Linked DNA regions of Lytechinus pictus. The protein of the gene in region 1 purifies or fractionates together with the protein of each later gene. This does not show direct contact. Links are inferred from orthologs where the notes say so. Each region holds a gene or a part of one and is shown on either strand. Other genes may lie near its edges. The genes, in order: ras suppressor protein 1-like and integrin-linked protein kinase-like.

What was found.
Region 2: the proteins of ras suppressor protein 1-like (region 1) and integrin-linked protein kinase-like purify together in Homo sapiens (affinity purification with mass spectrometry; 9 studies listed by BioGRID and IntAct, counting the BioPlex papers as one, with this or other methods). This does not show direct contact. The link is inferred for Lytechinus pictus from reciprocal best matches to the Homo sapiens genes RSU1 and ILK.

Annotation. Positions count from the first base shown.
Region 1 is NC_087247.1:32,133,912-32,149,731, reverse strand, and holds the start of ras suppressor protein 1-like, read left to right. Parts: upstream 1-7,721; 5' UTR 7,722-7,832; coding exon 7,833-7,941; intron 7,942-8,589; coding exon 8,590-8,640; intron 8,641-11,258; coding exon 11,259-11,379; intron 11,380-12,637; coding exon 12,638-12,756; intron 12,757-13,569; coding exon 13,570-13,652; intron 13,653-14,934; coding exon 14,935-15,049; intron 15,050-15,820. UniProt on the Homo sapiens protein: Potentially plays a role in the Ras signal transduction pathway. Capable of suppressing v-Ras transformation in vitro.
Region 2 is NW_026974140.1:15,261,515-15,277,876, reverse strand, and holds the start of integrin-linked protein kinase-like, read left to right. Parts: upstream 1-10,045; 5' UTR 10,046-10,773; coding exon 10,774-10,862; intron 10,863-16,362. Other genes in the region: mitochondrial disaggregase-like, read right to left, coding at 2,385-2,462, 2,955-3,069, 3,756-3,853, 4,246-4,374, 5,447-5,550, 5,970-6,056, 6,433-6,487, 9,542-9,815. UniProt on the Homo sapiens protein: Scaffold protein which mediates protein-protein interactions during a range of cellular events including focal adhesion assembly, cell adhesion and cell migration.

The DNA.
Region 1 (15,820 bases):
ATTATCAATAAGTATTAATAATTAATGATTAATCATCTGTTTAATAAAAGTGGTTGTAAGCAGAAAAAAAAAATGAAAACTGACAAGAGTCCTAAAAATTACTCATTTTCAGTTTAAGCATTTGAAAATTTTAGCTTGCGCTTTGTGCTCTCTTGCCCCCCCCCCCAAAAAAAAAATATGCCCTTTTTAAAAAAGAAATACCTTTTTTAATAATAAAACATAATACATTTTAGGTTCGAAAATCACAGATTTTGAATCGTGCTTGCATCAATTATTGTTTAGTACAGTACTGCTAATGGTTACAAAAATGTATAGAATGTTGCTTTATGGTTGAAATATCACAAATATTTGGCTTGCTTCCTGCACTCGCATCAATTATTGTACTCGTTCTCTTCCCGTTCACAAAAAAATGCTTAGAATGTCCAGTTTTCAGGTTGGAATATCACAAATTTTTGAGCTCGCGCTTTGCGCTCGCATTATTTTTTATTGGTGAGTTATGTATCTTATTTAAAATGCAGTAATTAACTGCTTCCTTTACTGGTCAGTATATAAAAAGAATTAGCGAGCGCAAAGTTATTTTTTAGTTAGATACACATCTTTTTCATGATTACAAAACCAGCTCAGAATAAAATAATGTCCATGTCTTATTATTTATTTATTCATTTATTATTTATTTATTCATTTATTTCCGTTCAAACAAAAGATATAATCAAAGTAAAGTGTAAATACATGTTCAAAATAGTACATACAGTTCTATAACATTTCATAACAAATATTGAAGATAAAATTATCTGAACGGAGGGACTTGCCAAGAAAAGCAGAGCTTGTAAATAAGGCAAGTCCCTAAACATAGTTCTAATACTAATTAACATAACCTATATACAAGAGACGGGTGGAAAACAAAAATAAAATACATAATCTACAAAATACCAAAATAGAGCGTATAAGCGACAACAAAAAGTGGAAAGTAATTTGAATAATTGGAGTGATAACGATAATGATGATAAAATTTTTAATAGAAATTATAAGAGTGGAAAAGGGAGGCAAAGGAAAGAGAGGGGAGAAAAGGGTGGTGCAAATAAAACTGAAAATAAAAAGAGGAACATGACAGGTGCACAGGTCATAGGACACTGTAGTGACATTATTTAGAATATATATTAGACAAATTTGTTGATAATTAAATGATAGTTGTAAATACGTTTAGTTACAGTTATATATTAGCTTGACTTGTTGGTGTGGAGTATTGACAAATTAGCATCTTTTTAAGTTTGCGCTTGAAAATGTTAATGCTTGGTGATTCTTTAAAATCATTGGGCAGTGAATTCCAATACACTGGTCCAAAAAAGACGAAAGAGTTTTTTGCTAAAAGAGTACGGGTTGGGGGTAGATGATAACAATTACGTTGTCTCGTTGGGTAATCATGTATGGAGGAGTTTTTACAAAACATATTTGAAAAAAATGTGGGGAGATCATTTTTATTTAGTTTATACATAAATTGGGCGAGTTGGAAAAGATATAAATCATTCACTTTAAGAATATTATTTTGGAAAAAAAGGACATATGTGTGTGATCTGAAATGAGTTTGAAAAACATTTTGAAAAAGTCTGCCCCCCCCCCCTTTGGTACACTAGTAGTGGTTCCATGCTGATAGCGCGTAGATCAGAGTCTAGATCTAGAGACTAGACTAGAACTAAGATATTTATTTTAGATCTAGGACTGGTTCTGTATACGGACTAGACATATTAAACCATGGTAAATAAGCTAATATTAGTCCAAACCCAATCAAACGTAAAGTTCGGAATTAAGTTCGAAGTTAACCATGGCATTAGTCGGCTATTCCTATTAGTATTAGGCATTAGACAGGTCCAGATTTGAGGTAAAGTTAATGCGCTAGCCTAAGCTAGCCCTACCCTAGCACATGTCCCCGGGGGGGGGGGCACTCGACCAAAAAAGTGGTGGGGGTGTGCCGCGGGCGAGACAAAAAACGGGGGCCTTGGAGCGGGCTTATTGTAAAAAGGAGGGTCCTCGGAACGGGCTTCGGAACTACAAATGTTTGTGAAAACGGGGGTCCTTGGAACGGGTCGCCTGCGTGCGAGTGCGTATGTATCCCTATGGAACGTGCATGCAGCTGGGCTGCGGCACGACTGCCGGGCGCGCTAGCGCAGAGGCGATGGTCAGACGGCGAGCTGCGGCCGCTTTTCACCAAAATTGCGACCGGAACGGCGTAACGGAAAATATGCGAAGCCCTATATAGCTGGAGCGGATTTTTTTCTTCTTTTTTTCTCGAGAAGAAGAAAATGCTATGCTTTGGAGCGGCTTTCTTTGTTCTTTTTATAAATAAGACAAAAATGCTATGCCTCGGAACGGAAATTTGAGTGTAAAAGTGGGGGTCCCCCCGGGGGTCCCCTCCGCGGCACATACCCACTATGCATTATATACTGAGTGCCCCCCCCCCGGGCACATGTCTTGCCATTAATGGCAGCTAGTTTAATAAGTGTTTAAGAATTGGATGTATATATAGATCTAAGCCTATAAGGCCTATGTAACTATGTAAGGGTACCGGTAATTTGACGATGCTAATTCATTCTGAGCAACGTGAATGCTTACGATCGGCACTGGTCGAGGCCAAGTCCACGCGCATGCGTACTCTCAATCCGAAGACGCAAGTCATGAATATTCATATGTCGGTCCAGAACTCGGTGGGAAAAATAATTTCGCGGACGGGAGGGGGGTATCACTATGCCCTACATGTATTTCTACTAACTGCAACTAATCCCGGGGGATGAGGGGGATACACCCCCCCCCCACACACACACTTTTCGGAGAGGGGGAGGATGGCAATTAATCATCCCCCCCCTGCACGTACACTTTTCAAGGCAGAAACAATCATCAAATGATTAAAAATTAAGATATAAGATAAGATTTTATTAAACTATCGACCCCCGATCGGGATCAGTATGAAATTCTCGACAAAAACATATAAATAATGAATTTGCGTACACATTGAACATGCGTATAAAAATGAACATAAAATTATATATTTTACAATATGTCACAGGGGCCGCGGAACCGGGGGGCTGGGGGGGCTTCAGCCCCCCCCCCCCCCCACACTTTTTTTTCCAAAACCGTGTACAAAAACGTAAAAATGACCATATGATTGTGATTTTTAGCATGGTCAGCCCCCCACTTTTGGCTCAGCTCCCCCCCCCCACTTTGAAAACCGTTCCGTGGCCCCTGTACAGTCATAGGCCCTAAAAATGAACATATTTACAATGATGAATACAAATGTTTGCATAAATTAAGTACCGCATGATGTTGCATGCAATAGCTAGGCTATACACCCGGGGCTATATACAACAACAAACAACAAAACCCACTATAAACTATTATTGTCGTGTTTAGCACAACATTGTAAAACGCACTGGCCCATATTCTGAAGTCGGGTTTAACTTAAACTCGGGTTTATAGTTGTGGTTTTAAGTATGGATATAGCCAAGTGTTACATTCATACCGAGGTTTTTTTTACCTGACTGCTAAGAAAGCACGAATGCCTGTGTGCAAGCTAGCAACCAGGGGACCAACGACTTAAGGTCCTCTCCGAGGGACCTGGTAATGAGGATAAATGCCTTACCAAAGGGCACTATAGCGCACCACTTGGGAATCAGTCGAACCGCTCTACCGACTGAGCTATCGCGCCTCATAAATCACTAACAGTATAGAGATATCAAATTTAAGCTCACTTGGCTTTCAAATCATTCATAATTGTCTAGGAAGTATAAATAGCTTGTCTTCACCATCGATGAATCAGGAAAGAGCACAGTAAACATAAGAAACATACAACTTAATAAAAAAAAATGACACTTTTGGCTTCCCATAACTTTAGCACAGATCGAGTTAGACCATGGCAGTGGCGGATCCATCAGGGGGGCACAGGGGGCGCACGCCCCCCTAATATTTGAGCGGCGCCGAAGTCGCCGCTTAAAAAAATTATACACTGATATAATATTAGCAACAGTAAAGGAAAGACTATCCCCCAGCAAAGACTTAACCCCTTTTTCAACATTATGGCGCCGGTGAAGTGCAAATGAAATATGTGCGCCGCTCGGCAGTACGCCCCCCCCCCCTTTCGCCAAAAGCTGGATCCGCCTATGCATGGTCTAAGTTAAACCTGACTTCAGAATACGGGCCACTGTGTTTAACCATCCTACATGCACTGCTAATAGTTACATTCACTCTGGTAACTGTATAATAGCCTTTATCAATTACTATATTGTAATGAATTTTACAAGTTTTTTTTTTAATATGGCACCTTTTACAATCTACCCATTTGGCAATATTTGGTAAGCACACATCAGGGTCCTATAGAATATTCTTTGGTTATGTATACATGTACATCTATCTTTCTTTACTAAAGAAAGAACACACAAAATGGAACGCATCTCCAACTTCCTTCAGAGAGCATATAATCATTCACTGATTCTAGAATCGGTTATTGATGGGTACACCTTTTAGACCTGCATCTGAATGACACAATGTGGTTGCATCAGTGTCACTTAAAATTAGGAAATATTACTCAAAACCCCATTTTCCCCCGTCATCTTTTGAACAACTTAAATATACGATTTGACCATCAGTTGGTACATGTTAATAGAGGCCCATGCACCCTGACGTGTTAAAATTACACCCTAGAGATTGAACATAACACCAAAGAGTGTAAATGTAACCAGCAAAGGTGTATTAATAACACCTATAGACACTGTAGACACTGTCAATTTAACACTGGTTTAAAAATTATTGTGGTCCTCTATATGTACACCGGTTAAAACCAGTTTTTGCTGTGGACATAATTTTTTTAACGCAACTTCGAGAGTTTTAGGAACCAATCAGTCCCAATTCTCTTCCCGGATCACTTGTGATAAAAATATTAACCAGAATTACACCTGCTTTCTGAAGTATTCAGTGCAACTCATCCATTTTTACGTGAACTGCATATTATAGTTGTTAATGTGTGGATTCATTTATAAAAGCGGTATAATCCCCATGCATGATTAGCTAAATTGCAAGTGTTGTTAGCTAAATTGAAAGTCCCCTCCTACGGTCCTGCATCATGAGAGTATATCAAGAAAGTTACTTTCAGGGGCGACGATCCTGGGGGCGGCCCCCAAACTTTTTGAAGCACTGAAAATGTGCCCTTTTCACGCAAGAAAAATACCCCCTCACGATCGTGTACTGTGCCCTTTTTATCGGAAGAGGACCCGTTTGGGTGTTACCAAGTGCCATTTCGTATAAGTGCCATTTTCCCCAAAAAAATGCCCCCTCACAAACTTGTTCTGTGCCACCTTCATCTGAGAAGGACCTGTTTTATGTTTGAGCAAATTCTCCCTTCTTGTAAGTGCCCTTATCGTATCAGTGCCCCTTTTTACCCAAGACTAAAATTGCGCCCCTCGGGAACATGTCCTGTGCCCCTTTAACCTGAGGAGGACCCGTTTTATGCCGTTAGCAAGTGCCGGCCCCTTTTCCTTCTTATTATATAGGTGCCCTTTCTCATATCAGTGCCCCTTTTTACCTAAGAAAAGTGCCCCCACGAACATGTTCTGTGCCCCTTTCACATGAGAAGGACCTTTTATATGTGTTAACGAGTGCCCCTTTGCCTTCTCATAGGTGTCTGTTCTTCACTCAGATATAGATAATTTCCGTGCCCGATGAGCGCCCGTTTTCTTATGGTGCCGTTCTGCTTCCTTCTGCAAGTGCATAATGAATGAAAAAACTTGTAGAATTAATCCTACGTGCCTTAAAGGGATGCTCCGGGATGAAGATGTTTATAGAGTAAAATTCTTAAAGCAAAGTGCTGAAAATTTGATCCATAACAAATAATTTGCATTATTCCGGTGAAACAGTTTTAAGCATGTCTTCATGAATATTCATTAGGTGGGCTGATGATGTCACATCCCCACTTGTTCTTTTGTATTTTATCATATGAAATTAGGTTAATTCAAAATTTCTCTACCAAGAACTAAAACAATTATTGGATTGACATCTGATTAAGTGCATTAGTTACCCGGGGAAGGGGGGGGGGGGGCAGTCAAATGTATTGCTGTATACACACGCATGGCCAAATTATTTCCAAACACACCCTAAACGAGTTTTTCTCTGTGTGCAAAATAATCCCCTAAAAAAGTTTTTCGTTTCACGCGTGCATGTCATGTGTACAGCAATATATTTCATTGCCCCCCCCCCCGGATTAGTTATTTCTTGCTGCACCTTTTTCGTGTTATTTCGTAATAATGGAGGCACGTCATTTACACATGTTATGAAAAATTAAACAATTATGATTTCATGTAATACCATAAGAAAAAAGAAAGTGGGGATGTGACATCATCAGCCCATCTAATGAATATTCATGAAGACATGCCTAGAACTGTTTCATATCGGAATAATGCAAATATTTAAAATTCATTGATTTTTTGCTATTGATTTTTTCCACTGAAAGTTTATGCTTGCTGCCCTTCCCCCCCAGCGAAAAATTTCTGCATACGGCCATGTTAAAGATAGTACCCTTTTCGAAAGAAAAGGTGCCCTTTTCCCCTGTGCCCCCCCCCCCCCGCTTTCAACTTCACTCCGCTGCCCCTGGTTAGTTTAATGACTCGCAAAAAGGTCAGAATTATTTACAGAATGATAAATTGTGTACCTCAATTTATGCTAATAATGTTTTATAATGATTTTCTCCAGATTTTGAGCTAAAATAATATGGACCTCATGGAAGAACAGTATTTGTCATAATTATGTTGACAAAACTGAATATGGGCTAGGCCTATCCATCGATCCGTTTGTAAACGGAAAATAAATACTCTACCTCATACCGGCTATAGATTATTTGTCATTCTCAGAAGATTTTTATTAGGGCAATCAACTTGAGCAAATTCGATCAGAACAACTTCCAATCCTGTTCATTTTATCTTATAAACCTCAACAGTCCTTAAAATATCACATTTTCAGTTCAGTGGGCTCTTACACTTTTGTATACGTTACTTCATATACGAGCAGCTGTTATATATGTCGTGTAATATAAAATGAATAATTTCTTTTTTAAAATGTTTGATGATGACTATATTTTTTTTTCTTTAAGGAGCGAATAAATAATTTGTCCATCTGTTGATATACTGAAGGTACAATAAAATCATTTCAATTTGTTTGTTTTTTCTTATGGGGAAGCTGCTCGCGCATCACAATTCAAAAAATTAAATTCTAATAACTTTTTAAATATTTGATGGATTTTCCTCAAACCTTCACCAATTAATATCTTTTTATTATTTTTCTGCTATTTTTACATAAACCTTTTGCCAGGCTATATTCGGTGGTTGGGGCACTGAAAGTTATAAGCCTATATACGACCAAGAAAAAATAAGAAAAATAAGAAACAGAAAGAAAATGAAATAAAAAATTGAAATGATTATGATACCATTTCAGGATCTATGAAAAAAAATGCAAAGACATCACGCACTCATTATATCCCGGTTTATTTATCTATTCAATTATTTAATTTACACAGCCGGGTAGTCTCTTCAGTATATTTATATTCAAAATCAGCTTTGACTTAACATTTTAAGCTCTTCAATTCAAGGAGCTTGTCGATTGGGAAATAAAATGGATGTACAGTACACCACCACGATTCCCGCCCCACCCCCACCCCCATATGCTGAACTTAACCCCGCCCCAATTCCCTACACTGCAAGAATTCACTTCCGGTTTGACAGCTACACCCTTCTACTCACACCAGACTTGAGCCAAATATTACTCTTTTTATAATTATCACTGGAAATTAATCCTCGAAAATGTCTAAATCTGTCAAAAAACAGGTTGATGATGCAAGAGAAAACAGGCACCAGGATCTCGATTTGTCGGATAAGAGCATTTCAAAACTGCAGGACATTCCAGGACTGTGTAAGTATTTTTCTCCGGTCCCATTCATTAATATTGGTGTAGGCCTAGGCATAACACGGTCTTACATGATGTAATTTGGAAATGCTTCTGATGAGTGAAAACAAATAATACAAATCAATTTTTAAACTGTGATGAAATGGCATTTTGTGGGATTTATATCATAATAACATGGTAGATCTGCTCGCATATCTGTAACATAAAAAAATAAACTAGAATTAAAAAACTTCACTTCTTTTGACAGTTTCTTTTAAGTTTGGCTTTGGCTTTGCTGAGTCATGAGATGAGTGATACATATGTATGTTCTGCTTGTATTTTGCTGCTGCGAATACAATTTTAACATGATGTGAGTGTACAGTAATAATGCCCTCTGCATCTAGCCTAGCTCCAGATGAAGTCAAACCAAAATGTACAAATTTATTTACATTTGTCTAAGTCCTAAAACTTTCATGTTCACTGTCGAAAAAAATGTGTAAATTTTCCAACTAGTAAAAATAAGGAAGTTCACCCGAAAAATCCTGAATACTAAAAATATTGTGGTAATGAATTTCAGAATTTAGTCACTGTAGAGTTTTATTGGCATTCCTTAAGAGGGGTTAGATGTCAAATGTGTGTTAATGAATGATCTTTATCTTCAATATTTTCTTTCAGTTTCGCTCAGTAATCTTGTGAGGCTGACTTTGAGCCACAATAAGATTGATGGTAAGTTCTATAATTTTTTAATTGCTCCTCTCTTTCTCTCAATTTCGAGATCTGTCACTTTCTTTACCTATTTTTCTCTGTCTCTCTAAATGGGCTGTCCCACAAGGTTATATCATGTCCCACAAGGTTATATCATAACCTTGTTCATAGAATGAGTGGTCACACCCTAAGATTTAGCAAGCATACGTTAGTGTATGTATGGCAAGCTGTTTTAATGTTTGAAGTTTTAATCCTATTCCATTTCTTGATATATATTGAAGTAATACTATTATTGATATCGAGAATAAATTTCTGGTATATATTTTTGTAATGTTAACAAATGGCAATTCATCTTATCAAGAGTGAAATTATTTATATCAAGCAATAGCTAATTTGAAAAAAGCTTGTTATAGATTACTGTACATTGATGTGTACTTCCTTTGCATATGATTATTAAATCTTAAACCACCCTTTTCTTGAGGAACTTATTCTAGAGTAAGAGTATATTGCGGAAAAGGAAGAGCAGATCAGTTACAAAAAAGTGTACTACCGATTTCCTGTGACTTTATAGTTTTCAGGGGAAGTGGTTTTTGTAAGCTTAGAAAACATTCTACTTTTCTTCCCCTTCAGTTTGCTGCCTTCCAATTCCATTTCTAATAAGCATTTGATTTAGAATAGGCCTTGTTATTCATGCAAGCCAAAGGTCGGCTATATTATGTTTGAAGTTTGAAAAATACTTCTGTCTGGTTTGGTCTGGTCATTCCTATCTCCTGTTTTGTAAATTGAACATGCAATGTTAAAAGAGGGAAATTTGTAGATGGTGATCTATTTATCTCTGTGTAGATACCTCAACATTACAGTGCATGTAACAAATACTAGTAATAATCTGCCAATTTTCAAGGGTTGGTTCAAAGCTGATTGAATCAGACTTTAAATTTACTTGAATATGAAAGAGCAACTCTTCTACTTTAAACTGATATTAAAATTTACTTGTAAGAATTCAAACCTTTTGCAAGACTTTGCAAGTAAGAAAAAGATGAAGCTTTGACTGATACCTCAATGATAAAGTACTCTACTTTTGAATTGTGGTTATTTTAACCCTAAAAGGACTGGGGGCCATGATGCCCCCCCCTCAACGCTTTACGCAACATTTCCAAAACGCAAAAAGATAGCGCCGCAAAATTTTATGACTTTTTTCTTTAAAGTCTTGCGCAACTTTTGAGACCAAATTCGCCACATACAGGTATAGCATCGTGGCGTCACGTGACTTTTTACGAGACAATGTCATGCCGAAAATGACTCATTTTTATACTTTGTGTACAAAGTCTATGGGAGATGAAATTCATAAAAGGGTGATTATTTTTCGTTCTAATTTGGTCTGCTTAACCCTTTAGCACCTGAACCGCCCGAGACCGCCCTTCCTATTACACACTGAACCGCCCTTAACCGCCCGTACGTTTTCTTTGCGCTATAGTATCTCTTACCGTGGTAATATTGCGTGTGCATACCGTATAGGTTGGCTGCTACATAGATCTGCATAGAAAAGTGTATGCTTCTATTGAGTATAATAGAGAAAAACCGATTGACATGCATCGGTGTGTAGCAAGTTCCAGACTTGCGCAGTCGATCTCAGCAAAGATGGCTGCGTCTATGTCTCGGAAAACCACTTACTTCGCCGAAGAAGCTCGGGTGTTGCTATATGTTCATCAAAACGTTGAATATCACACAGAGTGACATCTAGATGTGAGTTGGAATTAATTTTTGACATATTTGATCCAAGGTTTGGCGAAAACTTTAGTATTCTGTCAGTGATACTTTACATTTTTTTTAAGGCGTGGGACTGGGGCGGCTGAAACCCGAACTTTTGTTTTTTTTCTTCTCGCTCTGCAAATGATTGTCAAAGGTCAATATTCATACATCTGATTGAACTTTGCCATGTACCATTCTATTCAACAGGTCCTATGCTACAAAATAAATATAACTTGTAATGAACAAAAGTAAATTTATAAAAAACTATTTCAATTTGTTTGGAACAATGCCTACTTATTACCAGTTTTATTGTTTCCTCCAGTGAGTAATTGCCATTATGCATAGGAATCTGTAGGTGCTATAGGGTTAATTAATTTAGTTGTTAAATGGTCTGTAATAATTTCCATTAAAAAAACAATGAAAAACAAAAGATGAAAAAACAAAGAAATACATGAATTCTAAAAACAAAGAAATACATTATAAGGAAAAATTGGCTTTCGCAACTTTTCTCTGTGGAAACCTTTAAATAATTATTTTCAGAATTTTTTTATACTAGCTTGTAGTTTAAGTGGTAAAGAATGTTCTTGCCAAATTTCGGCGCGATCGCGCGAACGACAGCCGGGATCAAAAGGGGGGCCATCATGCCCCCCCCCCCCCCCGTCCTCAATACATCTCAAATAGCCCAGTCCTTTTGGGGTTAAGTAGCTCTATATGCTACAAGTGTTATTTATTTGATGCAAGCCTAACGTCAGTGTAGAATTCTTTCTCCAGCACCCAACTATTAATTATAGTCACCATTTACTTTGCACAAATATAACAGTATATATCTATATAAAATCTTGAAGTTGTGAAATATAATTAATATGCGTGTATATTTATTTTGTATCTAGTTGTTCCACCACATATAGTAGAGCTGACAAATCTGGAATCCCTCAATCTATTCAACAACCACATAGAGGAGCTACCTACAAATATAAGCTCGATGCAAAATCTCAAAATCTTAAATGTTGGGTAAGTCTCTTAAATTGTAACTTATATTTCTTATTGGCTGTTGCAAGAAACTTATATTCAATTGCAAATCAGGCATAAGTCCCTTAATCAAGAGTAAGATCATTTTGTAAGAAAGTTTAGTTGCAATTGAAGTATTTAATGCAAAATCAACAACAAATTTTCTTTTAGATTATAGGAATTGAACTTGATTTTTGGACTTACACTTAATTTCGAATTGAACATAAGTTTCTTGCAGAGCCCCATAAGATTTAGTTTTCGTCATGTTGACAAACTTTACAAATTTATACAGTCATTGAAACCTTTTCCCCCATTAAGGTAGTCTAGATCTGGACATTAGGAGTTATTTGTTAGGACTCACTCACCTTTCACCAATACATTAGTCCTCTCTCTTTTCACCTTCTAGTAGGAGAAGGTGAGAAGAGAGAAGACTGATGTATTGGTGCAGGTGAGTGAGTCTTAACAAATAATGTCCATATGTAGACTACCATTAAGGTGGCATTGTCATTTCAATTTAATTTCAATTTGTATGAATTACTTTCTCAATTTTATATCATCTATTTTGCCACATAAGATCAAAGTACAAGGATTTTAAGCTAAAATAAATTACAATGTTTTTACCGGCTTTCAGTATGCCCAAGTCGGGGGTTCAAAGACAATGGCATCATGATCTGTCCGAAGCAATCACATTCTGGTGACATTTTTCCCATTCAAGTACATGTACATTTCATGCTGACAAAAGATCTTAATAAGTAAAACTTTAGGGATTCTTTTTTTTACTTTAGCTTTCTCACAATGGCTTGCTAAGTTTATTTGGATGGCCGACCTTGGGAGATCAAACTAAATTAACATGAATAAAATGTTATTGAGACAACATTGGCAGAGACATTCACAATAAATCTATTGACAAAATGGAGAATATCCATCCAAAATAGATCCATGGCAGTTGACACATGTATGATTCCTTCTGTGCGAGCATGTCATGGTATAAATCTCATCTTTTAATCAGAGGGTCGTGGGTTTGAATCCCAGCCATGGCGTGTTATCCTTCAGCATGGAGTATACCCATATTGTGCTGCACTCAACCCAGGTGAGGTGAATGGGTACCTGGCACAGTGTTATCCTTGAATGCACTTAGCAGTGGAATGGCAGCTCCAGCTAAAGTCGGGGTAATAGTGTACCTGGGATTAGATAATAGATGCACGTAGCTGGTGGTATAGAAATGCCTATTATTATTGTTATTATTATTTATTGATTTCAGCATGAACAGATTGTACAGCTTACCTAGAGGCTTTGGATCATTTCCCAAACTAGAAATACTGGATCTCACATACAACAACCTCAATGAGAATAGCTTGCCTGGAAATTTCTTCTTATTGGGTAAGTTATACAATTTATATACCTCCTTTCTGTTTCTCTTTTATTTTCCTTCCTTTTATTCTAATTGTTCTAATTCTTCCATTTATATTTCAAGCATTCTTTCCATTATTCTTCCTAAACATATAGGGAAGAGTGAGAGGCACATTTCCAAAACTAAATGTAACGGAGAAGAAAAGTGAAGGAAAAAAATAAGAAGACAAGCTGAATGAGCTAGAAAGCAATTCAAATTGGATAAATTAGTAATATCCCAGATACGGAAAAGTTTTGCTTCTTTCTCATGTGTTTCAACATACATGATGAATTTTTCCCCTCAGAATGTTCATTTACAGGAGTTTAATTCCTTTTATGTATTGCCTATGTGCACATACCGGTATTCATATTTTGTCTTTGATGTAAGTTTACTGGCTCTGTCTGAAATGACACTTGCAAGAAAATAAGAACAATTTTCATACACAACTACCCTGGGAGTAACCACATGACAACTTTTGATATCCACTAAATAACAATTGCCAATTTAGTAAATTCACAAGGAAAGGGATTCCACTTTTCAAACCATAATTTATCTAAAATTCCTGCCGTCACTCTTGGTGAGTGTTTCATAAAGCTGTTTGTAAGTAATGAATGACTTTACACAAATTGGTGACTATTTAGCTGAATTTGCACCTAAGAACTTGTTGCAGTCGTGCGTAAAGTTAAGTGTAACTTTACAGCTTTATGATTTTTTTCCTTTTATTTCATACCAATAAACTCATTATTCTGGTTTGATTTGCATTTTATTATTCAACATTGTATGAATATATCTTTCTATAATAGACACACTGCGAGCACTGTATCTCAGCGACAATGACTTTGAAGTGCTTCCTGAAGAAATTGAACAGCTGAGCAAATTAGAAGTGGTGAGTAACAAACTAATACTTTAAAAAAGATATATTTCACCTCATTATTTATTTACTTTAAAAATATGTATTTGAAGTACAATCAATTCTAGTAAATCATTAACAAAATGTTAAAGAAGAAAAAAAATAAAAACTTGTCAGATGAGCTTGAAAAATGTCATGAAATGTTTCGTATTATTGAAAGGAAGTATCTGTCTGAGTGTCTAGACTTTTTTGGGGGGGAGGCTGGGGGTAATCATCATGGTGCATCTCAAGGATATATTATATTTAGAGAGATGGCACATTTTAAATACCTAGTAGTGGTGGTGTGATCAGGTGGGTGTTTCATAAAGCTGTTTGTAAGTTAAGAGCGACTTTAAGAAAGACTGGTGATCCTTTCTTGTGTTAAATGGTATATTCATTGGCGATGGTTTAGCCCGTAAGAAAGGATCACCAGTCATTCTTAAAGTCGCTCTTAACTTACAAACGGCTTTATGAAACGGCCCCCAGAAGCAACAAAATAAAGACAGTTCAGTTAGGCAGTAATGTCAAATAGAGGTCCTCATCTTTGGAGTACTATTCCAAACCACCTTAAGAATCAACTTTCTGTTAATAGCTTTAAACGTTCCTTTCGATTATTTTTATTAAACTTGCACTCAGTAACTTAATATTATACATGTATGTTCACCACCACGACTTTGACTTTTTCGTTTTTGTCCCCCCCCCCCCCTCTTACTATCACATATTTATTTTAGGGTCAACGCTCAACAAGTCAAATTGCTCTTTTTTGTTGACCCCTCATTCAACATAAATTGTTTTCTTTGTTTTTCTCTTATGTTAAGTTATTATCTTAAATGCTATATTCTATAACCATGTAAATATGTTCATCATTTTTTTACTTGTATCTTGTATATGTGTTTTTATGAAGAATGAAATAAGATAAATTAAATTCAATTCAATTGAAATAAATTATAAAGCACTCCTGATTCATTATGCCTCCTCCCACCTTTGATGGTTGGTGGGGATGTAATTTATTGGGTCTTTCATTCGTCCACCTGTCTCACAATGACTAATGAGCCATTGGACTGATCAATACCAAACTTGGCTCATGTGTGAGTGAGGATGATATGGGATATCAAACTTAACATTATAAATTACCAAACCTTCAAAATAAACTTTTTTTAGAGAGAGAATAACAAGCATTAGGTTGATTGTTCAGTTCAGTAGACAGTATACAATCCCTTAGCTTTATATTACATGAAGGTATGTCTCTTAATCATGTCACATGTCTTTTGCATTTTAGCTTTGTGTAAGAGACAATGACCTGATCTCCCTCCCTAAAGCCATTGGAAATCTGCCGAAATTGAGAGAGCTTCATATTCAAAGCAACAGAATCACAGTTCTGCCCCATGAACTGGGTAAGTCACTCATATAGCTTACATTGGCCAGATCTGGGGGTGTTTCATGAAAGTTGTCAGCACTGACTAAATTGTCAGTGCTGACTATTTCAGTGAAATCCTTGGTTTTTATTGGCTGAGAAGCTCTGGCCACTGACTGTTACTATGGTAACTGTCAGAGAAAGACATCTTGTCAGTGCAGGGTTGTTTGATTTCAATCATGTCAATTTAAATCATGATTTAAATCACGATTTAAATCACTTGATTTTTTTCAAAAAAATCACTGATTTAAATCAACTTTTATAAAAAAAATTAGTTTTCTCTATTTTCTCTTCTTCTTAACAGATACTTTCAATGTAATCATTTTCATTTCTGTTCCACATGCTTTAGAGATACTTTAAAAGAATGATACACCCTCATGGAGTCTGATTTAACACCACTGTTTTATTTTCAAATTGTAAAACAAGCAAAACTGATGAAAACAACAAGTTTCTAACGAAGTAATGATAAATAACTCTCTGTATGACACCAAACTGTTAAATCTTCAATAAAATAATATATAAAATCTACAAAGGTGCTCAAAGTCCACAACTTGGATACTTTTACAAAACAGCTGAACTACTTGTATGTACCTCCTTCTTGTTACTATTAATACCCATTCTTTCAATTACTTAAGTTGAAGGCATATGTGTACATTTGATAAGAATTACATGTATATTTGCGTGCCTTTAATAATGTCAATTTTGTTGGAAATTCTCAAAAATTCACAAAATCTCATCTCTCAGCTACAAA
Region 2 (16,362 bases), on another chromosome or scaffold:
AGCAATGTAATTTTGTTTCAGAGAGCAGTTACATGTGTTAATATACAAGAGAGTACCTGATTTCTAAATGATTAAATCTTTATAGTTTAAGAGAGAGTACAAATCTCACACACTATTAGTAAATGTAACATACTTTTCAAAATAATCAACAGTAACTGAAGAGTGAACTATATTCCACCAGCTTATTCACAGATAAACCACCAAATAAACCCCTTATGTACCCAAAAGTTAAACATTCACTGTTGATTGGGAGTTTCATTTCCTCATGATTCAACAATGAAATATCTCTCCCTAGGGGCTGTGCCACAAGGGAGGGGGGGGGGTGACTGCCATCCTGTGTGTCAGTGTGTGATTTTACAAGTGATTAAAAAGCAATGATTGAAAAGGATAGAAAAGGGAAGAAATAAGTAAAAGGGTTGTGTTTTAGAAGTAATTTACTTCAATTATTTCATTGTCTATAGATCACTTTGTCCTCTTATCAATATACCTTGTCACTATCTCACCACCATGAAGGTTAAACAGGAAGTATGATTATGTAAAGATTCTGCTAACAGGCAAAAAACTCTAGTAGTTAGTAGAGATCACAAGAACATTGTTAAGACACTGACACTACCAAACCTACCCTCTTTTAACCCCAATTCTCCGGGGGGGGGGGGGCCATAATGGCCCCCCCTCGACAATTTTCGCGATATATCTGTTGCGCAAATTTTTTTGACCTCGCCGCTCACTGACTTTTTACTTTCAAGTCTCGCGCAAATTTTGAGACCAAATTTGTGACGCCCGGGTACGCGGTTACGACATTACGCAACATTATGTAAGTGCATGTCAGACCCCAAATTGCTCATAAACGTGATTTCATGTACTAATCCAATGCAGATTGTGTATTAGCCAAAATTCATAAATGTATCATTATTTTTACTTTTACTGATTAAACTTAATTAATTTTGCCTTGTTTATGATCAGAATTAAGTCTGGAACGATTTCCATCGAAAAAACAATAAAAAACAAAAAGTAAAAAAACAAAGAAATACATAAGAAATTTAAAAAACAATAAAATACATAAGAAATCGGTCTTGGTACCAGAATTTTTTTCATTCACAATTGTTAGGAATGCTATAAAGAATATTTTCACCAAAAAATAGCATTCTAGGAGCTTTATTTAGTGAATCAGAGCAAAAAGTATGATTTCATGAATAAATCAGCATAATTAATTCATATAAAATAAAAATGTATGAATTCAGTGAAATTTACCAATGCAACTGCGTAGATTACGTCATTCTCTACCATCATGCAAATTTTCGTTGTGATTGCGCAATCCGCGGCTGAGACCCGGGAATGACAAGAATAACAAGTGGAACGCCTCTGGCAGTCTCGCCTGCATTAAGCGATTTAATATAGCAGCAGTGCTAACTTTGAAATCTACTATAAAATAATCATTCACAAAAACACCATTCATATAATGACATAATACCACGTTCATTGACCATAAATGACATTTGAACGGTGACTTAAGACTTGTCAACTACACCCATGTCCAAGTTTTATGAACTAGATCCATAAACTTTCAGAGTTAGGATGGTAATTTAACGAATACCCCCAACACGGCCAAAGTTCATTGACCTTAAATGACCATTGACCATGGTTATGTGAACTGAAACTCGCACAGGATATTCAGTGGTACTTGATTACCCTAATGTCCAAGTTTCATGAACTAGATCCATAAATTTTCATACCCCCAACTTGGCCAAAGTTCATTGACCCTAAATGACCTTTGACCTTGGTCATGTGACCTGAAACTCAGGCAGGATGTTCACTAATACTTGATTAACATTATGTCCAAGTTTCATGAACTAGATCCATAACTTTTCAAAGTTATGATAGTAATTCAACAAATACCCCCAACTTGACCAAAGTTCATTGACCCTACATGACCTTTGACCTTGATCACATGACCTGAAACTTGAGCAGGATGTTCACTAATACTTGATTAACCTTATGCCCAAGTTTCATGAACTAGGTCCATATACTTTCTAAGTTATGATGTCATTTCAAAAACTTAACCTTCGGTTAAGATTTTGAAAATAATTCTCCCAACATGGTCTAAGTTCATTGACCCTAAATGACCTTTGACCTTCGTCATGTGACCTGAAACTCAGGCAGGATGTTCAGTAATACTTGATTAACCTTATGTCGAAGTTTCATGAACTAGGTCCATATACTTTCTAAGTTATGATGTCATTTCAAAAACTTAACCTTAGGTTAAGATTTGATGTTGACGCCGCTGCCGCCGCCGTCGGAAAAGCGGCGCCTATAGTCTCGCTCTGCTATGCAGGCGAGACAAAAATACCCCGGGAGATTTAGGGTTAATTCTCATTCATTCTTACCAATTCCAGATGAGCCTAAGAAAAGAAATACTAAAGGGTGGTCTTCATCCATCCAACCATTCTCTTTCCTCCTTATAGCTGTCATGATAAAAATCAATTATTCACATTAGCATGGAATACATTCTTCTGAAGAATGTCATAATTACAGTTTTCAGAGTGATTGCAAGAACATCTGTGTTAAATTTAACTTACTACTGAGTTGAACTTACTGTATATCATTATGCTGCAAGCTTTATTACTCATTCACTGTAAATGGATTCATACAGATGCAATATAATGAAATATGAGAATGGAATCACACATTAAAAGGGAGCAAATTATCCTCAGACTTTTGTTGGTGTTGTTGCAATCAGCAACTGAACCATCTATAATGAAGGCTTGATGAAGATTGAGAGGTGAGAGTGTACAAAAGTAATTATTTTTATTGAGATTGTGAGATAAAAATAAGTTCTGATGTCATCACATCAATAAGATGAACTATATTGGTAATAAAATTCTATTATCCAAAATGGTGTGGGAAAAAACAATATAATCTTTATTGAGTAATTGCAGTTTCTAGAAACAAGTTACCTGCAGCAACTGTTGCTATGGCACCATCCTGTCCTATGATGAATTCTTTTAATCTCTGCTCCAATGGGAAACGACGTCTCTCCTCTGCTGCCTTCTTTGCTTGCAGATCTGAAAACTATCAGAATACAATATAACACAAAATACTTCATATCATAGGACAGAATGTAAGAAATGACATGAATTTGAATGGTATATTACTACTTTTAATTTCAAATGAGCTCTAAACTCTCAAAGAAGTGCTTCAATGAATGCAACATAAAAAGACAAAAAATAGTATATTGGCCTCAAATGGATCATTGCTTTACCAGCTGAATATCATTTTGAGTAAAATTAAGTTTTCTTTGCTATTCAATTGAAATTCTTAATTTGTTGATGTAGTGTTAATGCTGTAACATTCCTTTTGGAACATTCAACAACAGGCTTTTTGAATTTCTCCTGCATACATTATCAAGGAAAAAACCCAACAAATTATGATGATGTATTTTAACAACTGGAAAATCCCTTATAAAAACAAACTTTTGTGCCTCCGACCCTCACTTTTCTCCATTTTATTTGCTCCACTGCCCAAGCCATGACAAATTTAAGGGCACCACAACTTTTCATATGAACTAGAACTCAAGAGAATTTTTTTCAGGAAGGATCCACATGTAGGGAATTGCACGTACATACTTCATGGAATTGCCCAATTGTAACAGAATAGGCTTCAAATCTAATTATTTACATCATGATGAAAATATTACTATACCCTGACTCTTACTTTGTCTGTGATTATCACTATGAACTTTGACCTTGTGTACTCACCTTCTTATCATATTCTTCAAGAAGCTGCTTTATTGCTTGCCCCTTGGCATACTGTATTGGTGTATGACCATTCTCATTGGCTATCATTGGATCAGCACCTGACAAAAAAAAAGTTTCAGTAAGAAGTGGGGCATGGAAGTATGGTTCTGCAAAGTTAATTTATTTTGATGTGTCAATACAAACAAAGTTGATAAAGTATTCTTAATATTTCTCTTCTTTTAACCTTAGAGTTGTATGTTTTTGCATTTTGATTTATTAATTTCCATTAAATTTACACATAAAAGATTGATATAAAGCAATTCATAGTTTATAACAAATATTGTGAATGGAGAATGTGATATTAAGAAAATAAATGTACAAGAATTAGCATTAAAATGCTCTCTTCCTATCTCTCTTTCTGTCACTATTTCTCAAACACAAACAGTCCTGCCCGCACTTCTATTCTTAATTTCAACAATGTATATCAAATGAATCATGTTAATACATGTACCTGCTTCAAGTAGAATTCTGACAATATTGATATCATTTGAAAGGACTGCATAGTGAAGTGCTGTACAACCACGGAATGAAGCTCTGTTGTTCAGTCTGTCACTGAAGTCATCTTCTCTGTCATATAATACTACAATAAAGAATATATATATTATAAAAAATATAACAATAATAATAAAAAATAATAACAGGCATTCATATAGAGTTACATATCTAGACAAATTATATTTCAAAGTGAATAAGAAAAATAGACAGAATAAGAGAGCTGGGATCATCAATCAAAGTACAAATAAATCTTCCATCTATTATTGGTGTCCTATTTTCAACTCCATATATAAATAAAATAATCTCTAAACTTTTATAAGAAAAGTGATATTGAGCTGTATCTTCCTATGGTTACCTGAAATTTGCTCCTGTCTCTGTTGCTTCTGTATCAATTTCTAAGAGGACAATAGTGTAAGGGTTTGGTTGTAGTAGGGTTTCAGTTCAAAAAATAAAGTGGGTCTTTATATAGGGTTAATGTCGGGTTTGATGTAAGATGAAGTTTTGCTAAATGAGCAGAATTTCCATTTGAGCAATTGTTAACCAAACAAAAGTCATGGAACATGTCCATCATATATGTATCTGTTAATTCAAGTAACTTTGTCCAAACATTTCAGCTGTTGTGTAATTAATCCTTAAATGCATTGATTACATTTTTAGCACTTGAATTGTGGCTAATCTGAAAGAAGCTCAGTGATTTTATATTTAAGTAATCAAGTAACATACCAGAGCCGATTTCATAACAGTAAATATTTTGGTAACTTTGCAATCCAATGGTAAGTACATTTTACCATAGAACAAAGCTGAACAACCGATCACAACCAAGGATTTTATGAATATTACTACTATATGGCATAGTTACCATAACAGTAGCTTTTATGCAATGGGGACCTGGGATATCTGAGCTCTATGGATATTATATGTACATGTAGCAACTTTCCAAGGAGGGCAACTTCCCTGTGACTTTTAAGTTGTGTTAGAGTGGGTTGTTTTGTCCGTAATGTATAAAGAGACTTTTCATATGGAGAGCTCTCCTCCATGAGACATACATGTATGCTCAAGGGGAATATTCATGTGAGAATGGTGTCGGGGGAACCGTCCTTTGGGGGAGCTGCCTGGTTCTGGGAGCCGTCTTGAAACTTTGCATGTGAAGAGCTAACCTTGTAATGAGTTGAGACTTTTCTCTTGTGATGTCTGCCATACACTGCTAAACTCATCCCCGATGTTTGGATCCGCTCCTGCTTTAAGTAATGCTCTCAGTGCTCTGAAATAAGACACGGTGGAAAGAAATATTCTAAGAGAATACCAGGAACACATTCTCAAGAATCAATCAATGATATAGCTGACTATTCAAAGGAAGTATAATGTTTTATTAACAGTGGACTCAATGTAAGCAGTGCATAATGAATGTTCCTGATTTATTACAAGTATATGGACAATCAGAAAATCAAGGAAAGAAAACAACTACAAGGTCTACAATGCAGATATACCTCTGATGCAAAATAAACTTCTTCCTCTTTAAAGGGAACCATGTCTCATTCATCAAATGTAAATTAGGTGACTATAAAGAATAGGAAGTACACTACTACAATCATTCTAAATTTTCACAATAAGATGGTCATTTCCTGAAAAAAAAAAGGTTTTGTCGCTATACACCTTTAGAATATGAGTCTTTGGTCTTACTTTTGATTCTTGTTGACAGCTGCTACATGCAAAGCTGTCCATCCAAGTTGATGCCTCTCATTCACATTGAACCCAGACCTTAGTAATCTACATGTATTTGTGAAAGAGAGTTGTTGGAAGGGAGTGAAAGGGAGGTAGTATAGGAAAAGAGGGGATAGATAGACAGAGGAGAGACAAACATGAGTGAGAATAAGCAATTTTTATAAGTAATCCATGGTGAAAAAAAGGGAACAAGGTCACTAAAATGTTGTTGGCTTTGATTCAATAAAACAATGCAATCCATATTGTCTAATATTTACAAAAACTTTATTCAGGCTTCAAATGTCATCGTTTTGACAAGATCTTCTTCCTAAAACAATTGATGACTTAAACATATCTATGTTTTATTGGTTTTAAATTATGTCATTGTCATAACAACATATTATTTTTTTTCTTTGACTCAAAGTAAATCAAATGAGCTTACCTCAATATTTCATCTACATCATCCTTTCTTGATGCATAGAACCATCTTGCTTTCACTGTAATAAAGAAGAAATTACCATTGTGATGTCACATTCAAGTAGATCCATAATGTGCCATGCAATGTAAATTGAATAAATTGTAATTTTTTCAGAATTATACATTGTCACAGGGTAGATTTGGGCCTACCTTGTGGCTGGGATCTTTTGACTGCAGTGTATGTTCCACGTACCGACATACTTTTGAAAACTTGTTAACAGAATACCAATCACAAAAATAATTAGGTTTTAGAAAACCTTTATTATAGTAAACTATTCTAACAAAGATTACAGGTTATAAACTAAGTATATAGATATTAACAGCTTTATACAATTCAATGATTAATGATGTTGCTTAGTTATTTCTTCTTCATCGCTGATTCTTGGTTTCTTTACTTGAGCGTCCTGACGATGACAATCTGTCTGATGTCAGCTCCTGTCTCTGGACAGACTTAGACCAATGATTCAGTTACAGATCATAAATCCTAAACACCAACTTCTCGTTAGTGTTTACTGATTTATAACGATTCCAAGTTTGTCAATGTGGAATCCCAAGATCCGGACTATCAGATTGTCCTAACAACACCTTGTAAGTTGTTGTATTCACCGAGGGCTGAATACAGTATTCAGATGAAAACTTGTTAATACTTTTGTGCAGTATCTCTAACCAGTAGTATCTCTGTTGAACAATCAGCAGCTTCTGATTTAGACTCACATTCTAGCTTTATTTATAATAATTTTATGCCAATTGTGGAACTCTAATATTCTTAGAAAGTATTATGAAGTATATGGCCCTCTAAATATCATTGGCCATTAAATACCTAGTCACTCACTTTGTCCCTTGAATTTGATTGGTTAAGATATTTTACTACCACTTCCACCGGAAGGAGTGGGAAACAAGACTCTGGGAAATGTCTGACGTCTTGGCTGGGTCAAAGTTTACAATTCTAGCCCATTCATCCTGGTTCTTCTCCTTTTATTGGCATAAGGCTTTTCTTTCAGGGATATTCCCAAGAAATCTAACTGACCGGTAGTACATATGTATGATGTTTGACCATCGTCATAATTACTTGGAAAACTTTCACCGGAAGTTCTCTTCTTCCTTCTTATGAATTTCATTCATACCTAGGAATGTTTTATTTCTACATTATATTGTATAGAACTTACATTGATGATACATATCGGATAGATTGCTCAAAAACGTGATTCTATGTACAGAGTCAATGCAAATAGTGTTACCCAATCTGCATTGACTTTGTACACGGAGTCACGTTTTCGGGCAATTTTGGGTCTGACATGCACTTACAAAATGTTGTGTTACATGTATTTTGGAACCACGTACCTGGGCATCACAAATTTGGTCTCAGAAGATGTGCAAGGCTTGAAAGTAAAAAGTCACTGAGTGACGAGGTAAAAAATTTCTTGCAGTTGCGAAGTGACAAATTCGTCAAAAGGGGGTCAACTTGACCCCCTCCAAATTAAGTAAGGATTAAATTTTAGGGCAAAGACAGCATTTTTACATCTTTTTATTGTTAAAAATGAATTCCTTGTCCAAAATAACAAAGAAATTGACACAAAAAAAGCCAAGATATACAATTTTGACGAAAATGGGTTGGGGGTCAACAATCTTTTTGCCCCAAATCGTTTTTTGGGCGGCACGCCAGCACCCCCTCAAGGTTTGATTGATTTTTTCGAAAAATAATGAGAAAGTTATGAGCATTTGAATATTGCAATCACTAATGCTATGGAGATCCTCATATTGGCAATGCGACAAAGATTTGTGATGTCACTTGTGAACTACTCTCCCCATTAGGCATTACTTTAGTATATATTTCAGTTAAACTGCCTCTTTTTTCACATCTATCAGTAGAGCATATATTCTTTCTATATGAGGGCATGTAATACAGACTTTTAAAGAATACATAATGGATAAAGAGTTTGTATCACCATAAGAAAAAGCAAAAAGATAAATTTTAGGGGTATTTTATAGTCCATCAAAGGGAAAGTTATGTGACATCACACTTGCTTGTTGCATTGCCAATAGGAGGATCTCAATAGCAATTAGCATTAGTGATTGCAATATTCAAATGCTCATAACTTTCTCATTATTTGTCAGATTTTTCTCAAACTTTCTTTGTTCTTATTCTTTGATTTTTCTGTTTCCACACAAGCCTATTTATTACAAAGGTTTCATTCCCCTTCAATTAAAAAAAATTGTATTCATCATTGACAAATATGGGGAATCTAATTGCACACGATATCACAAATTGAAAAAAAAAGAACAATTAATAACTCTTCTAAGTTCTTCATCTGTTCGTTATTTACTAATTCTTTTCATTGTTGATGGATTTTCATCAAACTTTCCCCAAAAAAGGATTGTTTCTGATTTTCTGTCTTAAATTTAAATATTAAATTAATTAAAACCCATTCAGATTTCAGGCCTCAGGCTCAGGGCGACATAGACAGCTGGCAGCCGTCTGTTTCGAGGAGTTTTTAAACATTTGTTTATTTTTTAAATTTCTCCTCATACACAGACGGCTCGCTATCGTGCAGCCACCATTAGGGGACTTACAATGCAAAATCCCCCCGTCGGGGCTCTTCAATTTTTGTCTTTAAAGTTTAAATATGAATCAAACTTTTGAAAATTAATGCGACCAAAATGCAAATTAATATTCCCTCTTGGCATTAATTGCCAAAAAACGGGGAAAATCAAGTTAAAAGGAACAAAAACAGTAACTTACCTCGGCTGTCGCGCAACTTCACTGCCCTGTTTTATCCGAACTTAATACACATAAACATATGGCCATTGAGTCCCCTGTACAGATCGCGCTAGAACTTCGGTCTCTGTATTTGGTGAGTGAAGACAACAGAGTTTAGCTGAACAACCAACATAACAGAGACCGAAGCTTTTGGTCTAACTAAGGGCGACAGAGCCAGAGAGTCATGAAGCCTATGAAGATGAACCTCTTTTGAAACTCCTGATCCCCAGGCCTGGCCCGGTTTTGTTTGGGAGAGATGGGATGGGCACATGGCCTGGCGCTGGCGGGGCCGCAGAACAACCTTCATTTAACTCACCCGTTTCGGCGGACTCAGCACACGCCGCTACTGCCCCGAGGGCAATCGCAGCAGTGGCCCCTACTCCCGCAGTCCGGACACGCCAAGTGGAAATTAAACGATAAATCTGCCTGTTTCCATAGAAGTTCCTTACGTTAAGACAACATCTAAGTGTGGGAGTTCTTCTCGAAATAATGAACTGTGAAATTTCATTCTTTTCGATACTTATTTGCCGTAAACTAAAAAGAAATAGACGTAATTTCATCACATTCGTGGAAACGATGGAGGCTGCCATCTTGAAATGTTGAGTTTGTAAAGCACTGATTAGTTCTTAGAAAATATTGTTGTAGAACTATAATATTGTTAATAAGATTTTTAAAATATGAAAAATTATTAAAAATTTTAATTTAAAATCAACAAAAAGTAATTTTTATTAATAACGGCATAAAAAATGAAGAAAAATATCAATCTTTCTGTATGTAAACATTCCGCAACCTAATTAGGAATGCAAGGAATCTTGACCCCGTGGGCGTGAGGTCATCCATTATCGGAGTCTCTTCAGAAATGAGTGGAGGAGTGGCCCGTGAATGTCGCTCCGAGCTCCGATGCAATATAGCCGACTGACTGCACCAAAGACGTTTTTACCTCGAGTGCGTGACCTTTCTGCTACTTGATGTGTCAAATTTGGCGGGGGTCTCTACAGCAGTTTGTGTGATTTGATGAGAGGATCAACATTGCATTATTTTTGGATGACACTGACTTAGTCAGACTCACTTCAACACAGAAACTTAATAATAATTGTCATTCCTTGATTGAAATCACATTTAACTTTTCGGACTGGATTTTCAAATTTGTGGACCAAACGCAATTGAAACTGAATCTAAAGTAATTGTCACTGGATTTTCATCCATCATCACTTGAGTTGATACTGATAGTCAGTGAACTTTTCATTTGCAGGGTATGATCATCATCATATCTCATGTTATGAGGATTGTCAACATGACTTTGTGGAGAAAATAATACGTTCTTCACTTCTTTCTTTTCAAATTATCTGCTTCTCATCGATAATCTGCACTCTGCAAAGCAGTGAAGCATATCAATAGGAATGGATTATGATTCACTTGAATTAATAAATACATTGATATTCAAGTGACTAATTGTACAGGAATTTCAAACTTTGTTTGAACAGTCGATGGACTTGCTTCGACATCAAGAGGACTCTCACAGGAACTTTTATTAGAGCTGATACAGCAATGGATGATATTTTTTCACAAATCCGTGATGGGAATGCAGTGCACATCAGAGTTTGGTTGGACAAGGTTGAAAATGATCCAAACCAAGGGTAAGAACAATTAGTGTAGAAAAGTTAACCAGAAAAATTGAACTGCTATTTTGTTAAATTGTTAAATTAATTCAGGTCAGCGTTAAAATCAGGGTCAATGTCATGAATCAACATCTTTCATCATCAATGGCATCATTGTCCCCATTATCGATCCAACATCAGCTATCTACCAAGTACCATCATCAACAATATCCCATTGTCTTGTCATTTGTTAACATATTGTAATCATCAATTCTGAATACCATCAGCACAATTGTTATCTTGATGATCATCTTAAAGTTTTGTTTATTTTTACTGTTTTCTTGTTATTTCTATCTCAAATCTGTTCAAGTTTTCAATATTGCATTTATAATCTTTACAGATGCCAAATGCTAATGTTTTATTTTTCTTTGTCTATATTATTGCCTGTAAATTTTTTATGTCACTGATTTACATTGATTCTTGTCAACCAAACTTCATAAAAATTGTCTGGATCACAATTACAAAGTTATACAAGTTCTGGCACTATCAACAAATTTTGCTCTTGACCTACATACCGGTACATTAATAATGGATCAATGCAATATTTTTCTAAATTTTTTTGTGTCTCATCTTCTAGATGTGAACATAATAACTTTGTAAATGGAATTTCATTGATGATTTTCCTTTGTTCAGGGCTTACTTTTTTTTCAGAAAGAAAAGGTTTGTGTATTTAAACCCAAGACTGTATTTTAAGAAATAGAGGGCCTTTATTTTTTATAAGTAAGTGTGCCATAGTAAAAAAAGGGGGAAATTCTTTTCAATCTTTATATTAAAGACATGATCATAAAAAAACGATTGGGCTAAATTGGTTTTATTTTATCAGAGACTTATTTTTTAATCTAAGATATCTACATGTAGTTAGGGCAGATCTAGAGAGTGTTTCACTTGTTTGCATAAAAAATATGAAGAATGCTACATGATGGTATCTTGATATAGTGAAGGAATGTCTTCCATTTTAGTGTAATAAAAGTTTAAATTTTACAAAGATTGCAACAAGTGGTAACATCCTCTGACTGGACCCCATGTACATGTACATGTACATACCATGAAAATATACGTACATGTACACTTCAGAGACTCTGACTTTGTCTGAGATTTTTGTAGTACCTACTCTTTGTCCTGCTCCGTGTTCTTGAAAATTCTTAGTACTGTACATGTATGTACTGTATGATAAATTTGTCATCCATACATCTAGGAAAAGGGCTCAACAGCCAATGATAAACATGGAGCTGTTAATAGCTCTATGGTCTAAGGATTCTATTAAAATTACCATTAGATACCATGATACATTCTAACGTAACAGGCATGGTTAAGTTCATTTTGTTTGAGAGAGCTTTATACCTAGGCTAGTGTAACATGATCAACATGAATGTTTGAAAGCAAACAAGACGTTGTATTGCCAGGTCAATTAAACATTTTACAAGAAGAAAAATATTGAGTAGATTTGTAACTTATCCTTGCAAAGTACATTTTCTCTTGGGCACTGTTGCGAGTAAACTGTACCCTCTTCATGACTGGATGCCAGATATACTTACTTGGATGTAATGTAGCTTATTTGCCCCTCATTAAGTTGGATAGTCTATGATAATGGTAGGGTAAAAATTCTAGTGGATGATTTTTCCAGTGCCTCTCAATAGCTGATTTGAGCATATTCATATTACAATAGAATATAGATGCATGATTGCAATCATTTTGGAAAGGCATTATTGCTTCTGTGCTTTTTTTTTTAATTTCATGCTACATGTATGACCTCTGTGTCTACCATGAAAATCAATCTCAAAGAATTTGTTTAAAGACTGTCAAGTTGATCAAGTCCTCTTCAAATGCTGCATTGTAGCACATTACATGTTCACTTCTAAAATACCAGAACATTTGGTACTCTACATGTACAATGTATGGCCCAAATTCACAAAAGTGGTTTTTGCAAAAACCATGGTTTCTAAAACCCACGGTTTCTAAAACCATGGTTTTAAATGAAACCACCTTTGTAAATTCAGGCCTATGTGTTTTAAAAATGGGGACATTGCTCGACAGTTTTTCCACATTAAATAAGCATGGAGAAAACACATGTTCTGTCATAAAGAAGTTTGCCATCTTGGATATTTGTTTTAAAGGGGAAGTCCACCCTGACAAAAAGTTTATTGTAAAAATAGCAGAAAAAATGATTAAAAATATTGCCGAAGGTTTGAGAAAAATTCATCAAATAGTTAAAAAGTTATTAGAATTCCAATTATTTGATTTGTGACGTCATATGCGAGCAGCATTCCTACATAGCGAATGGTAAAAAATCAATGAAATGTCATTTTCTCAGAAAATTGAAAATGGTTTTCACTTTACTTTTTGTATATCAATAGACAAATCATTTCACACCTGATCTTGAATAAAAAACAAAAATAAGTCATCAGGAACCATGCAAAATTTGAAATTCATGCATTTTATATTACGTAACACATGGGGCAGCTGCTCGTCTATGACGTCACAAATCCAAAACTTTGAACTCTAATAACTTTCTTACTCTTTAACGGATTTTCCTCAAATCTTCACCAATATTTTTTACTATTTTTTCTGCTATTTTTACAACAAAGTTTTCTTCAGGGTGAACTTCCCCTTTAATTCTAAGAGAACAAAAATTGTAAGCTGATTTGTATTTCACAGATTACTTGAAAGATTCCTTTTTCCCATTACAGCAAAGGTGTGGCAAAAAATACAGGATGTTTGTTTTGTTCATGGATAGATCATATTAGACTTCATATTTCCTATCTCTACCCACAATGCATTCAGTATTTCCTTAGCATTAAAGATGGTTTAAATTTTGCCTGCATAGAACAAAAATTAAGTGCTACATGTACATGTAAATTTGATAAGTGAAGTGTACATTGGGATCATTGATTTTGCATTATGGAGAGTTTTTCAGAGCTATACAAACACGTAATTGTTAAGAAAATACAGACTGTTGAATTGTGAAAAATAACTGAATGGATTATATAAATACAATCTACATTTACAGTATTTTATGTACATGTACATGAATGCTGCTTCAATTTTTGTCACCCTATTTTAAGCTGTACAGCGGTTTGTGATACATATTTACAGAATCAGTTATTGACCAAACATAAAATATTCTAAATTAAACATTACATTTTTAGAGCATTGCATAGGGCTTCAATGTGAGACAAAAATAAGTTTTATGTTTAGACCATATTGGTTTGATAATTATATGTAATTTGACAGGTCTACAGATAATTTATGTGAAAGTAAGTACTTATAAAGTACTAGCAAGAAATGAGTATACGATAACATATCAGGCAGACATATATTCTTGTAAAGAATCAGACCTACAATTATAGTACCTCTTATCAGAAAGTGCTTTACAAACAAAACTAATTAATTTGAATACAGTTGATGTATTTTTTTCACATATAGTAGTAGTACAGTGTACTACTGTAAATGTTTGTAAAATAAATTCATTCCCTAGACAAAAAGTATAGGAACATAAATGTGTAATATATTTAGTATTCCAGAGGGCCGTTTCATAAAGCTGTTCGTAAGTTAAGAACGACTGGTGATCCCGTAGTATGCGCTAAATAATCACCAGTGAACATTTAATGGTGAATATCACTTACCACAAGAAAGGATCACCAGTCATTCTTAAAGTCGCTCTTAACTTACGAACAGCTTTATGAAACACCCACCAGGCCTATTGTGGTCTCTTATTAAAGGGATGGTCCAGGCTGAAAATATTCATATCTTAATACATAGAGTAAAATTCACTGAGCAAAATGGCGAAAATTTCATCAAAGTCGGATAACAAATAATAAAGTTATTGAAGTTTCAAGTTTAGCAATATTTTGTGAAAACAGTTGTCATGAATATTCATTAGGTGGGCTGATGATGTCACATCCCCACTTTCCGTTTTCTTATCATAACTTTTTCATTATTTCATACTTGTGTGAATAATATGTCCCCCTTATAATGAAATAAGTTGCAGCAATAAATATCTAATGCACTTAATCAGTTGTCAATCCAATTTTTCTAGTTCTTGGAGGAAAAATTTGAATAAACCTAATTTCATATAATAAAATACAAAAGAACAAGTGGGGATGTGACATCATCAGCTCACCTAATGAATATTCATGACGACTGTTTTCACAAAATATTGCTAAACTTTAAAATTAAATAACTTTGTTATTTGTTATCAGATTTTGATGAAATTTTCAGCATTTTGCTCAGACAATTCTACTCTATTTATTAAGCTATAAATACGTTCAGCCCGGACCATCCCTTTAATGTTATGATTACTGATACCATGTCGACTTCTCTTTAATCTTAAGATCGCTTCTGTTCATTGAACACAGTAGGCACGTATATCCTGTATCATGAAATTTCATCTTTCCCTCCCTGTTAGTTGGTAGTAGCTTGCTGCTTGGCTTGTTAACAATCCTGACATGTGGGAGATACATCAAATCATTTTCAGGCCGATGATGTAGCAGCGAAGGTATGCCAACTATACAACAGCCATATCATCACAAGGCTGCATTAAAGGGGGTACATCATGGAAATAATTGTTATTCAGAAGAGGACTGTACACATTCCCCTCAGACTTATGTTGTTTACATTTCCTTGACAATGTTTTTTGTGATGTGTGAACTGTGAAGTTGGTTTCATTAAGTAAATAATGAAAAGCTATTGTATGAGTTTGTTTCAAAGCTTGAAGCACAATAGATTAATTACCGGTACAGTACAGAACAGATCCATGGTCATGTAGCTTTGATTCTTTGTGTCTCGCTCACCAGAGGTAAAGGCGAGACTAAGGGATCAAAATGTCGTTTGTCCGTCACAAACATCATGACACATAACATTGCAACAATATGTCACTTTTCAACCAAACTCAAGGCTCTATAACTCCGCAACCATAAGTCAATTTTCACCCAAACTTGGGTTGTAGATGTACTTAGGAGACTTATTATGTTATTGTGCAGTCGGAGGTCACATGGTAAGGTCAAAGGTCATTTTGAGGTCAATGTTTTTGAAAGTTTAGGTGCAAGACAATCTTATCACACATAACTCCGTAATTTTCTGTAAGTTACTTTTAAACCAAACTTGGGTTGTAGAGGTACTTAGGAGACCTGCATGTTATGCTGCAGTTGGAGGTCACATGGTAAGGTCAGGGTCATTTTCAGGTCAACTCTAAAGTTTACGTGCAAGACTCTCTTTATATGACACAAAACTCCGCAACCATTAGTCACTTTTCAAGCAAACTTGGATGGTAGTTGTATAGGAGACCTGCATATTATGCTGCAGTTGGAGGTCACATGGTAAGGTCAAAGGTCATTTTGAGGTCAGCATTAAAGTTTATGTGCAAGACTCTCTTATGACAAATGTTATTTCATCCCAGTTATTTCACAATGAACTTTTGATAGAATTCTGTTGCATGCCACCGTAAATCGCGATATTTCTGGTTATTTACACAAGTTGGCGA